2 linked regions of the Drosophila melanogaster genome follow. The protein of the gene in region 1 purifies or fractionates together with the protein of each later gene. This does not show direct contact. Each region holds a gene or a part of one and is shown on either strand. Other genes may lie near its edges.

Evidence for each region.
Region 2: the proteins of mgr (region 1) and betaTub56D purify together in Drosophila melanogaster (affinity purification with western blotting; one study listed by BioGRID). This does not show direct contact.

What each region holds. Positions count from the first base shown.
Region 1 is NT_033777.3:11,408,219-11,411,995, reverse strand, and holds mgr (merry-go-round), read left to right. Parts: upstream 1-2,120; 5' UTR 2,121-2,227; coding exon 2,228-2,314; intron 2,315-2,391; coding exon 2,392-2,786; intron 2,787-2,847; coding exon 2,848-2,950; 3' UTR 2,951-3,204; downstream 3,205-3,777. Other genes in the region: Irbp (inverted repeat-binding protein), read right to left, coding at 1-940, 1,186-1,858; mRpL40 (mitochondrial ribosomal protein L40), read right to left, coding at 3,292-3,610, 3,670-3,777. UniProt on the Drosophila melanogaster protein: Binds specifically to cytosolic chaperonin (c-CPN) and transfers target proteins to it. Binds to nascent polypeptide chain and promotes folding in an environment in which there are many competing pathways for nonnative proteins.
Region 2 is NT_033778.4:19,446,799-19,451,885, forward strand, and holds betaTub56D (beta-Tubulin at 56D), read right to left. Parts: upstream 2,802-5,087; 5' UTR 2,613-2,801; coding exon 2,529-2,612; intron 1,949-2,528; coding exon 662-1,948; 3' UTR 521-661; downstream 1-520. UniProt on the Drosophila melanogaster protein: Tubulin is the major constituent of microtubules, a cylinder consisting of laterally associated linear protofilaments composed of alpha- and beta-tubulin heterodimers.

The sequences.
Region 1 (3,777 bases):
TTTTCTATGCGCTTGTCCTGTTGCGAAGTGTCCAGCAGATTATCGAGTCCTTTAGTATCTGTCGAAAAGTCCAGGGAGAGGGCCAGAAGATTCGCCTGCAGGGCGTCCAGACTTGGATCGTTGATGAGATTCGGCTGATAGTCAACGCGCAGCTTCTTGATGATCTTTTGGAAAAACTCGACTTTCTGTTCGTCAGCAGTGTTTTCCGTATTGTTCCAGTCCTGCAAGTCTAGGTGGCGGATGTGCTTGGCCTCCGGCAAGTAGACAATCTTGAATCCGTCACCGCAGAGCAGAGAGCGATAGTTCTTATCTTCCCCATTATCTGGGGCCTCTACTGGCACAAGTGCCACATAGCGAGGTATCGACTTGCGCTTGCACATGAACAGGCAAATGGCAATCTTGTCGCGCACCAAGCATCGTTCCCACAATGCGCGGAACAAGCGCTTCGATCCGATGATGCTCTGATCATCGGGGTACATGAAATTCGCTGGCTTGATGTAGCTAACTTCGGGAAGAGAGGATCGATGCTTGAAGCCCAGCAGCATCATTTGCGGCTTGTGCAGATTGCGCACCCTGTTCAACTGATCCATGCTGATGCGCAGATCCCTTTCGCCCACGTTGCAAGTGTACCAACCGCCCGTCACCTTAATCTGATACTCGTGCTCGATATCCTGCGAGCCATCGTCCTTTTGTTTTTGCACCGTAATCACTCGCTTAGTACGCACCACACTGTTGTCCCTGCGCAGGATTTGCACTTTGCGCGGATAGGCGCGTCGCTGAAAGTAATTGTAGTACTGTACGGACATGGATAGGTTGGGGCCCAGATAAAAACTGAAGTGGCCCAGGCATCGGCGAAGGAAATCCTGCTTCAACTTACGATCGGACAGGATTTCGCGCAGCATCTGGGCATCTGGCACCTGGAAGGCGTCCAGTTCGATAGCTGCAAAAAAGGTCCTCATTAAACATCATCTAGTGTACGGATTGCTATATATTTATTTTATTATTCTTGTAAGCCAATCCAAAACCACGAACCAATTGAGCTTCACTTGGATGCGGGTGAATGATTGCTTATATTTGATCTACGAAGTCTTAAAACCTTTCAGGCGAAAATTGAACGCCAAACAGGGGAACAGACTTCGCACATTAAAACCCATAAGAAATGAATAGCAGACTTAAAGGACTTACCTCTTGACAACGTGATGAACTCCTTGTAAAACGGCTCGTAGTCAAAGTCATCGACCATGGGAATGACATGAAACTCGAACTCCTTGCCCTCCAGATCGCTGGCCTTTTGCAGGGCAGCCTGGAAGTGATTGCTGTTCGATGGATGAGGTTCCCTGACGTCCGTGACATAGGCGATCTTGGCGTTGTTTAGCTTCTTGCCGCACTTTTCCAGCATCTCGATGCAGAGCCGGATCATAAGGTCAAACCTGCCGCGACCATCGGGTTCCGCCAGGCCATACACATCGGCGAACTGCGTCTCCACCCCGCCCATGAATTCCAGATAGTGCTCCACAATGGGTTTGGTTAGTTGGCGAAGGGGCAAGAACACTGCGCAGTTATCCGGCATTACGATGTTGTCCAATGCACTGGCTTCCAGCGGCGGCGGACTGTGCTTGGTGTTGGCGAAGATGAGTCCGATGAGGTCCTTGTCGTTAACCAGAAGTCCGGATATAAAGGCCGTCCGGATGATGTTCAGTGCCTCCAACAGGCGCTCCACGCCGGCTGTCTGAAGATTGGCGTCTACCACGAACAGAATGGCCTCGCGCCCATGGTAGTCCCGCTTCATGGACACATCCTCCTCGTCCTCGGACCCAGACAGCAGGTCCACATCGTTCTCCGGATTCCAGGTGCTCATTATGCGGCTTCTTTAGATTGCTAAAAATCTGACTTTCCGCTAATTTCACAAGAAGGCGGGCGCGCTTATCGTCGCTGTTGTTATCGATTGAGCTAGGGATGAGAGTCACGAAGAGAATTGATATATATTTAAATTTATTTAGACATTATTTAATGTTTTTAACATATTATATTATCCCAACGTTTATTTATATAATTATTTTAATATAAGTTAGTTTTACATTTTTATACGAAGTTGACCACCACCTTTCGATGACAGCCATTCAATCGATTGTTCCATCGCAATTTTGACTCATCGACTTTTACAGCGGCAGGCTGACCTCCTGAAAATTAAATTGCATTTGTAGACGGCACGGCTGAAGGCAACAGGATGACAGGAATAATGGACTCGGTGGAAATGCCCAAATTACCGGAAAACCAGAAGACCTTCGCCGGCATCCCGGAGGCAGTGTTCCTGGTGAGTGGTCCTAACCTACAAGCGTGCACCTGCAGCTGGACACTGCAGGCTAATTCGTGGTTCTTGGGCCCTTGCAGGAGGAGATCGACACCTTCATGTCGCAGCCGGAGAACGAAAATTGCGAAAAGGTGCTGCAGCGACTGGACGAGCAGCACGGCAAGTATCGATTCATGGCCTGCAATCTGGAGGCGCGGCGGCGCAAGTTGAAGTCTCAAATTCCGGACCTGGAGCGCTCCCTGGAAATGGTCAATGTGCTTCGCAAGGAGGACGAGGAGCGCGAGACGCAATTCCTGCTCAGCGACCAGGTGTTCATCAAGACACTGGTGCCGCCCACGAAAACAGTATACCTCTGGCTGGGGGCCAGCGTGATGCTGGAGTATCCGCTAGACGAGGCGGAGGCTCTGCTGAACCAGAACATCACATCGGCCGTGGGCAACCTAAAGTCCGTGGAGCACGATCAGGATTTTCTGAGGTCAGTTCGAGTGCTGTTATTCAAGTTACTTGTTTTATTGTATTATAAATGTATATTTTAGGGATCAAATCACAACTACGGAGGTGAACATGGCGCGGGTCTACAACTGGGGCGTGAAAAAGCGGCAGGCCGCTACCAAGACCACCGCCACTACCCCATCCTAAGGAGACCCACCCAAATCCCATCCCAAGATCAACATCGGTAGCAGCCACTCGCATCTTATTTATTTCGACAGTACACCGCAAGGGCTCGGCAGGCGATTCCACCTGGCTTATTCTTGTTCTCCACTGATAGCAATAAAACCGCCACACAAACGCATCAAGCTGACTCCAAACGAGATGCCTATTCCGGAGGAATGTAATATTTTAATTTGGCTACGGGCATTTAACTGCATGTAAACCGAATAAACGGCGAACGCAATTCATTGAGAGTAAAGCCGAATTCACAAATCATAGGATTAGGGTTCAGTTTATTTCAAATCTTTAACATCCGGAACTTACACGCCTCATTTGACCTCCCACTTCATGGATTGGTGCAGGTAGTCGCCATCGGGACTGACGTAATCCTTAATGGGGGGCGTGGCAACGGGTCCTTTGACGGCGACGGGCAGCAGCTGGGGATCGATATCGATGGCCGCCTGGTAGAGCTCCTCGGACTCGCGCCGAAGTTCCGCCAGCGCCTTGTTTTGCGCCTGGACCAGCCGGTCGATGATCTGAAAGTCTGCTACGCGCTCGTCGTGCTTGTAGTGCGCCCACTGCTTCTTGAGGAGAGCACGTTCCTCCAACTGGTCGATGGTCAGTGGAGCTAGCTTCCGCTGCCGTTTGCTGAACGATAGGATAGCATTACATCTCAGCATATGAGGGAAACCCGTATGAGAACCTACTCCTTTTCGTCGATGAGCTCCAGTGGAACCTCCAGTTCATCCACGGGCTTCAGCTGACGGGCATTCTTCTCCAGCCGGCGAATCTGCTTTTCGATCTTCTTCTTCTTG
Region 2 (5,087 bases), on another chromosome or scaffold:
ATATATATATATTAATTAGATTTATTGCATACAAGGCCGTCTGAACCACAATGGTACGTAGGCCCACTTCCTACGCTGAAAATATCATGTCATGTCCTCTTCAAGGGCGAATTACTTTTGTTTATGCAGCATTTGCTCGAAAGTTGAGGTAGGTAGGGCAAATCATTGTCAATAAATAAAAAAGGTCTATAAATAAACTAATGTGAATGAAATTATCAATCATCACAACATAACCATGTCCAAAACAAACACAGCCGGTGAAAAGATTTCTATTGTTTTTAGCTGGGAGAAACCCGATTAAATAAACATAAATTTGTGAATCCAAATAATACAATGAGAAAATGTACAAATACCTCGCTTTTGTCAAAACCTACATTAATGAGCCTATTAACATTTATACCAACACTCTAAACATTAATCAGCTTTCTTGGACTACAAAACGCAGTCTCATAATCCTCGTAAAATGATTGATATCTCTCTTATTAATTATAAGAAACCCCAACAAAAACCATAATTGTTTAGACTTGTGAACAAAATTGGATCCGACTTTATTGATTACGTTGTTAAGAGAACAAATCTTTTACAACTGAATTCATTTGTTCTCGTTTCATTTTTTTTCGCAAAACATTGATCGAGAATTCGATTGATTTCCGATTCGAATTTAGTTCTCGTCGACCTCAGCCTCCTGCTCCTCCTCGAACTCGGCGTCCTCGTCGGCGGTGGCCTCCTGGTACTGCTGGTACTCGGACACCAGATCGTTCATGTTGCTCTCGGCCTCGGTGAACTCCATCTCGTCCATGCCCTCGCCGGTGTACCAATGCAAGAAAGCCTTGCGCCTGAACATAGCGGTGAACTGCTCGGAGATGCGCTTGAACAGCTCCTGGATGGCAGTGGAGTTGCCGATGAAGGTGGCGGACATCTTCAGACCACGGGGCGGGATGTCGCACACGGCGGTCTTCACGTTGTTGGGGATCCATTCGACGAAGTAGGAGCTGTTCTTGTTCTGGATGTTCAGCATCTGCTCGTCGACCTCCTTCATGGACATGCGTCCACGGAAGATGGCGGCGACGGTAAGGTAGCGTCCGTGGCGTGGGTCGCAGGCGGCCATCATGTTCTTGGCATCGAACATCTGCTGGGTCAGCTCGGGCACGGTGAGGGCGCGGTACTGCTGGGATCCTCGGGAGGTCAGGGGAGCGAAGCCGGGCATGAAGAAGTGAAGACGTGGGAAGGGCACCATGTTGACGGCCAGCTTGCGGAGATCAGCGTTCAGTTGGCCGGGGAATCGGAGGCAGGTGGTTACGCCGGACATGGTCAGGGAGACAAGATGGTTCAGGTCACCGTATGTGGGTGTCGTCAGCTTGAGGGTGCGGAAGCAGATATCGTAGAGAGCCTCGTTGTCGATGCAGTAGGTCTCGTCCGTGTTCTCGACCAGCTGGTGCACCGACAGGGTGGCGTTGTAGGGCTCCACAACGGTGTCCGACACCTTGGGCGACGGCACAACCGAGTATGTGTTCATGATCCTGTCGGGGTACTCCTCGCGGATCTTGGAAATCAGCAGGGTTCCCATACCGGAGCCAGTGCCGCCGCCAAGGGAGTGTGTGAGTTGGAAGCCTTGCAGGCAGTCGCAGGATTCGGCCTCCTTGCGGACAACATCGAGCACTGAGTCCACCAGCTCAGCACCCTCTGTGTAATGACCCTTGGCCCAGTTGTTGCCGGCACCCGACTGGCCGAACACAAAGTTGTCGGGCCTGAAGATCTGGCCGAAAGGTCCCGATCGCACAGAGTCCATGGTGCCGGGCTCCAGATCGACAAGGACAGCGCGGGGCACGTACTTGCCACCGGACGCCTCATTGTAGTACACATTGATGCGCTCCAGCTGCAGGTCGCTGTCACCGTGGTAGGCGCCGGTGGCATCGATGCCATGCTCATCGGAGATGATCTCCCAGAACTGCAAATGAGAAATGGAAGTAAAGAATTTGGGATTAGTGCGATTAGGACTTGCAGGTGCTGTACAGCATTTCTTGTGAACATGAGTCAGCAGGAAAATCGATTACTAGGGGGTGTTTTCTAACTCAGTCTTAAGAAAATGTATGAATGACTTGGCCAATGAGTCATCACAGAAAATCAATGGTAGTAAAATTACTCAAAGCCTAGACCATCTGCTGCATACATATATACAGCTAGTATTTATTTGACTGCTTCACATAAATCACAAAAGAAGTTTATGCTTAAGCAACGGTAACTTTTATTTGCACAAGAGTACTGCAGTTGAAGAAAACTTTTACTAATCACTGAAACTCATTTCCAATTCTGCAAGTAATTTGCTTAAAATTTTTCTTCCATACCCAGTGAAAGTTGATGCATGTGAAAGGCAATCTTATTTTCTTGTTTTTCTCTTAACTTATACAGATAACTTCGATACAGAAACCTTCTCGAACAAAATGTGTGATGGGTTATGGAAAGTCAGTCTATATATAACTCTTTATTGATTGGAATAAATGGGCACAAGAAGCAGCCGATGTACATACACATGTCTGGGCTCGGCTACGTGGTTTAGGCCACCCATGTACGCCATCATAAACTCTGTGTATGGGCCGAGCTCCGATTAACATAACTTATTCGCTGCCATTTTTGGTGCGTTTCCACCACCACGACCAGCAGCACCATCGCCACACCAACGATAACGTCATCTGGCGTGGGTTTTCGTTTCGGATCTCGAGGCGCAGCTGTCATTGCGTTCCGCCGACCGATCTTACTCGAATCTTCGGGCGTGGGCTGGAACTGAGCTGTATAACTACTATCTGTCTGTCTGTCTATATGTCTACGTGCTGCCCCCACGCAATGCCGGCGACCTCAGAGCCGGGCTCTGCCACCCCAAAAAGCCCCCCTGCTTCCGATGCGGCTTACATCACCGGTTGTTCGGGTCTCGCGACCCACTCTCGTCTCTGCAAGAGGGAAACGGAGGAGGAGTGGGAGGAGCAGTGGGTACCAGTTGGAGAGAGGCGTTGGCGTTGTCTGTTTGCTGAGAGGTTAAAACTGCAGCTCAGTGCTCCAACTACCGACCATCTGGCGCATAAATCGTCTGTTTTTCAGGGCATTACGTCACCTGAACTTTTTGCGATGGTCGTTGTTTATGTCGCGTAAACAAATAAAAACAATTAACCGAAATAAGTCGCTACACTGGTATTGGAGGAAATGCGTGGTTGACACTCGTTTAGCGAAATGACACCGTCATACCGGATTCTATGTATATAAAGTGTATATATAAATATAGAAATACACATTTGTAAGCCGGTCGGGTCGAAAGCGAGAGAGAGAGATATTGAGAGCCATACTTGGGCACAACAATTCTGATGTTGCAGCTGCTCGGGTTTTAAGGCGTTTCCGAGGGTTGTTTTCGGCTCATGGGCCCATGCCCAGCATGTGGGTATTGATTTTTCGGGCAAGGACTAGAAAGATTCGTCATCATCAACATCACCTTCGTGTCCTGTGCCCCGTTATCCCACACGCATGTGCAGCACCGCCCTTCTCGGTTTCGTTGCTTTTTGTGTGCGAGAGGAAACTGGGATAGAGACAAACAGATGGCAAATTCCTCTATATAAGGTCATCATCTCACCTTGCAGACTCCCAATTCCTACTGCTAAAAGTAAAGTTTCATTTTGGCACATAATGGCCGAAAGAGAACCGAAATCTGTCTATACTATAGTCATGAATAAAAAATAGAAAATTGTTTCATTCCATGATAAGATAGAGAAGCCGCCGAAGTAGCGCAATTTTAAGTAGGGAGCAGAGTGTGGAATGCATGAAAATCAATAGAACAGCTAATGCAGCCTACGAACACATATATCTACATACTTATATCCCATCTACGTATAAGATCAACTCTTATACGTTCTGCGAACCGTTCAACGACGACCGGTTCAGCCATTTTAGGTTAAAATGACGTCATGTTTTCTCTTTAGAAGACGCATAGCGGCAAAAAAAAAAAAATTAAATGAAAAAACCGGCCGACGCTCACACATACAAATGAGCAGCAAGCTCTTATGTGCGTGTAGAAAAGCTATCGTGTTTTGACGATAGAAAAGTACCCTTCACCATCTGGGCAGTGAAATGGCTTTCACAACCGGTGAAAAACTATGAAAGTCTTTCGCCCAAGAGAAAATGACTCATGCATGCAACACGCACACAGGCATACACACAGCCACCAGCGTCGGTGTAATTGCAGACACACCCAACTATAATTACTTACATATGTACATACATATGGGCACGAAGTACATATGCGAATGTCAATGGCCCTAAAGCATTATATCGATCGGAAATTCGGGCGTAACAAACTTTCGTTCTAAATTTTGGACCCCAAATGCCAGAGTAGAACAACAATTTTCAAGCATCTTTGCGAAATCGGACAAATATGCGGTATATACAAACACAGATGCCGGGACTCAAAAAGACCACTCGACACACACACGCACACAACTTGGTATACATAAATGCAAATGTGTGAGTGTGAAAATGCCGGCCTCAATACAAATTTTTGCCACATGGACAGCGAAGTCGTGCAAAAATGACGCCATTTTGGCAACTGTACTCTGGATGGAAAATGAATGGAAAATGCAAATGGGAAAACTTACCTTGGCGCCGATTTGGTTGCCGCACTGACCAGCTTGGATGTGAACGATTTCCCTCATTTTGTATTTGTTTTAGGCTTTTGAACTTTTAACTTAAAATTATCTTTCGCTTATAGCAGTCGAACACAACACAAACTGTCCGCTTCACACACTTGGAAAAATTAGTGCATTCGCTTTGGAGAGCGCGGGCTTTTATACGATGGCCGCAGTGTGGCCATACTACATGAAAACGAATAAAACGCAAATCCCGTTTTAGTGTGCTAAAACATCCCACTTGCCTGACATAACATTAAGTTTTAATTAATGTCAATGAAATAAATACAAAGTTTAATCGAAAGATAGTAGCTATGTTGAAAAATGTATTAAAAGGGAATACATTTTTGTCCATTTTATCACATTAAACTCAGTTGAAAAGATATCTTCCAGTATAATCTTGCTGGGCTTAAAAATAAACAC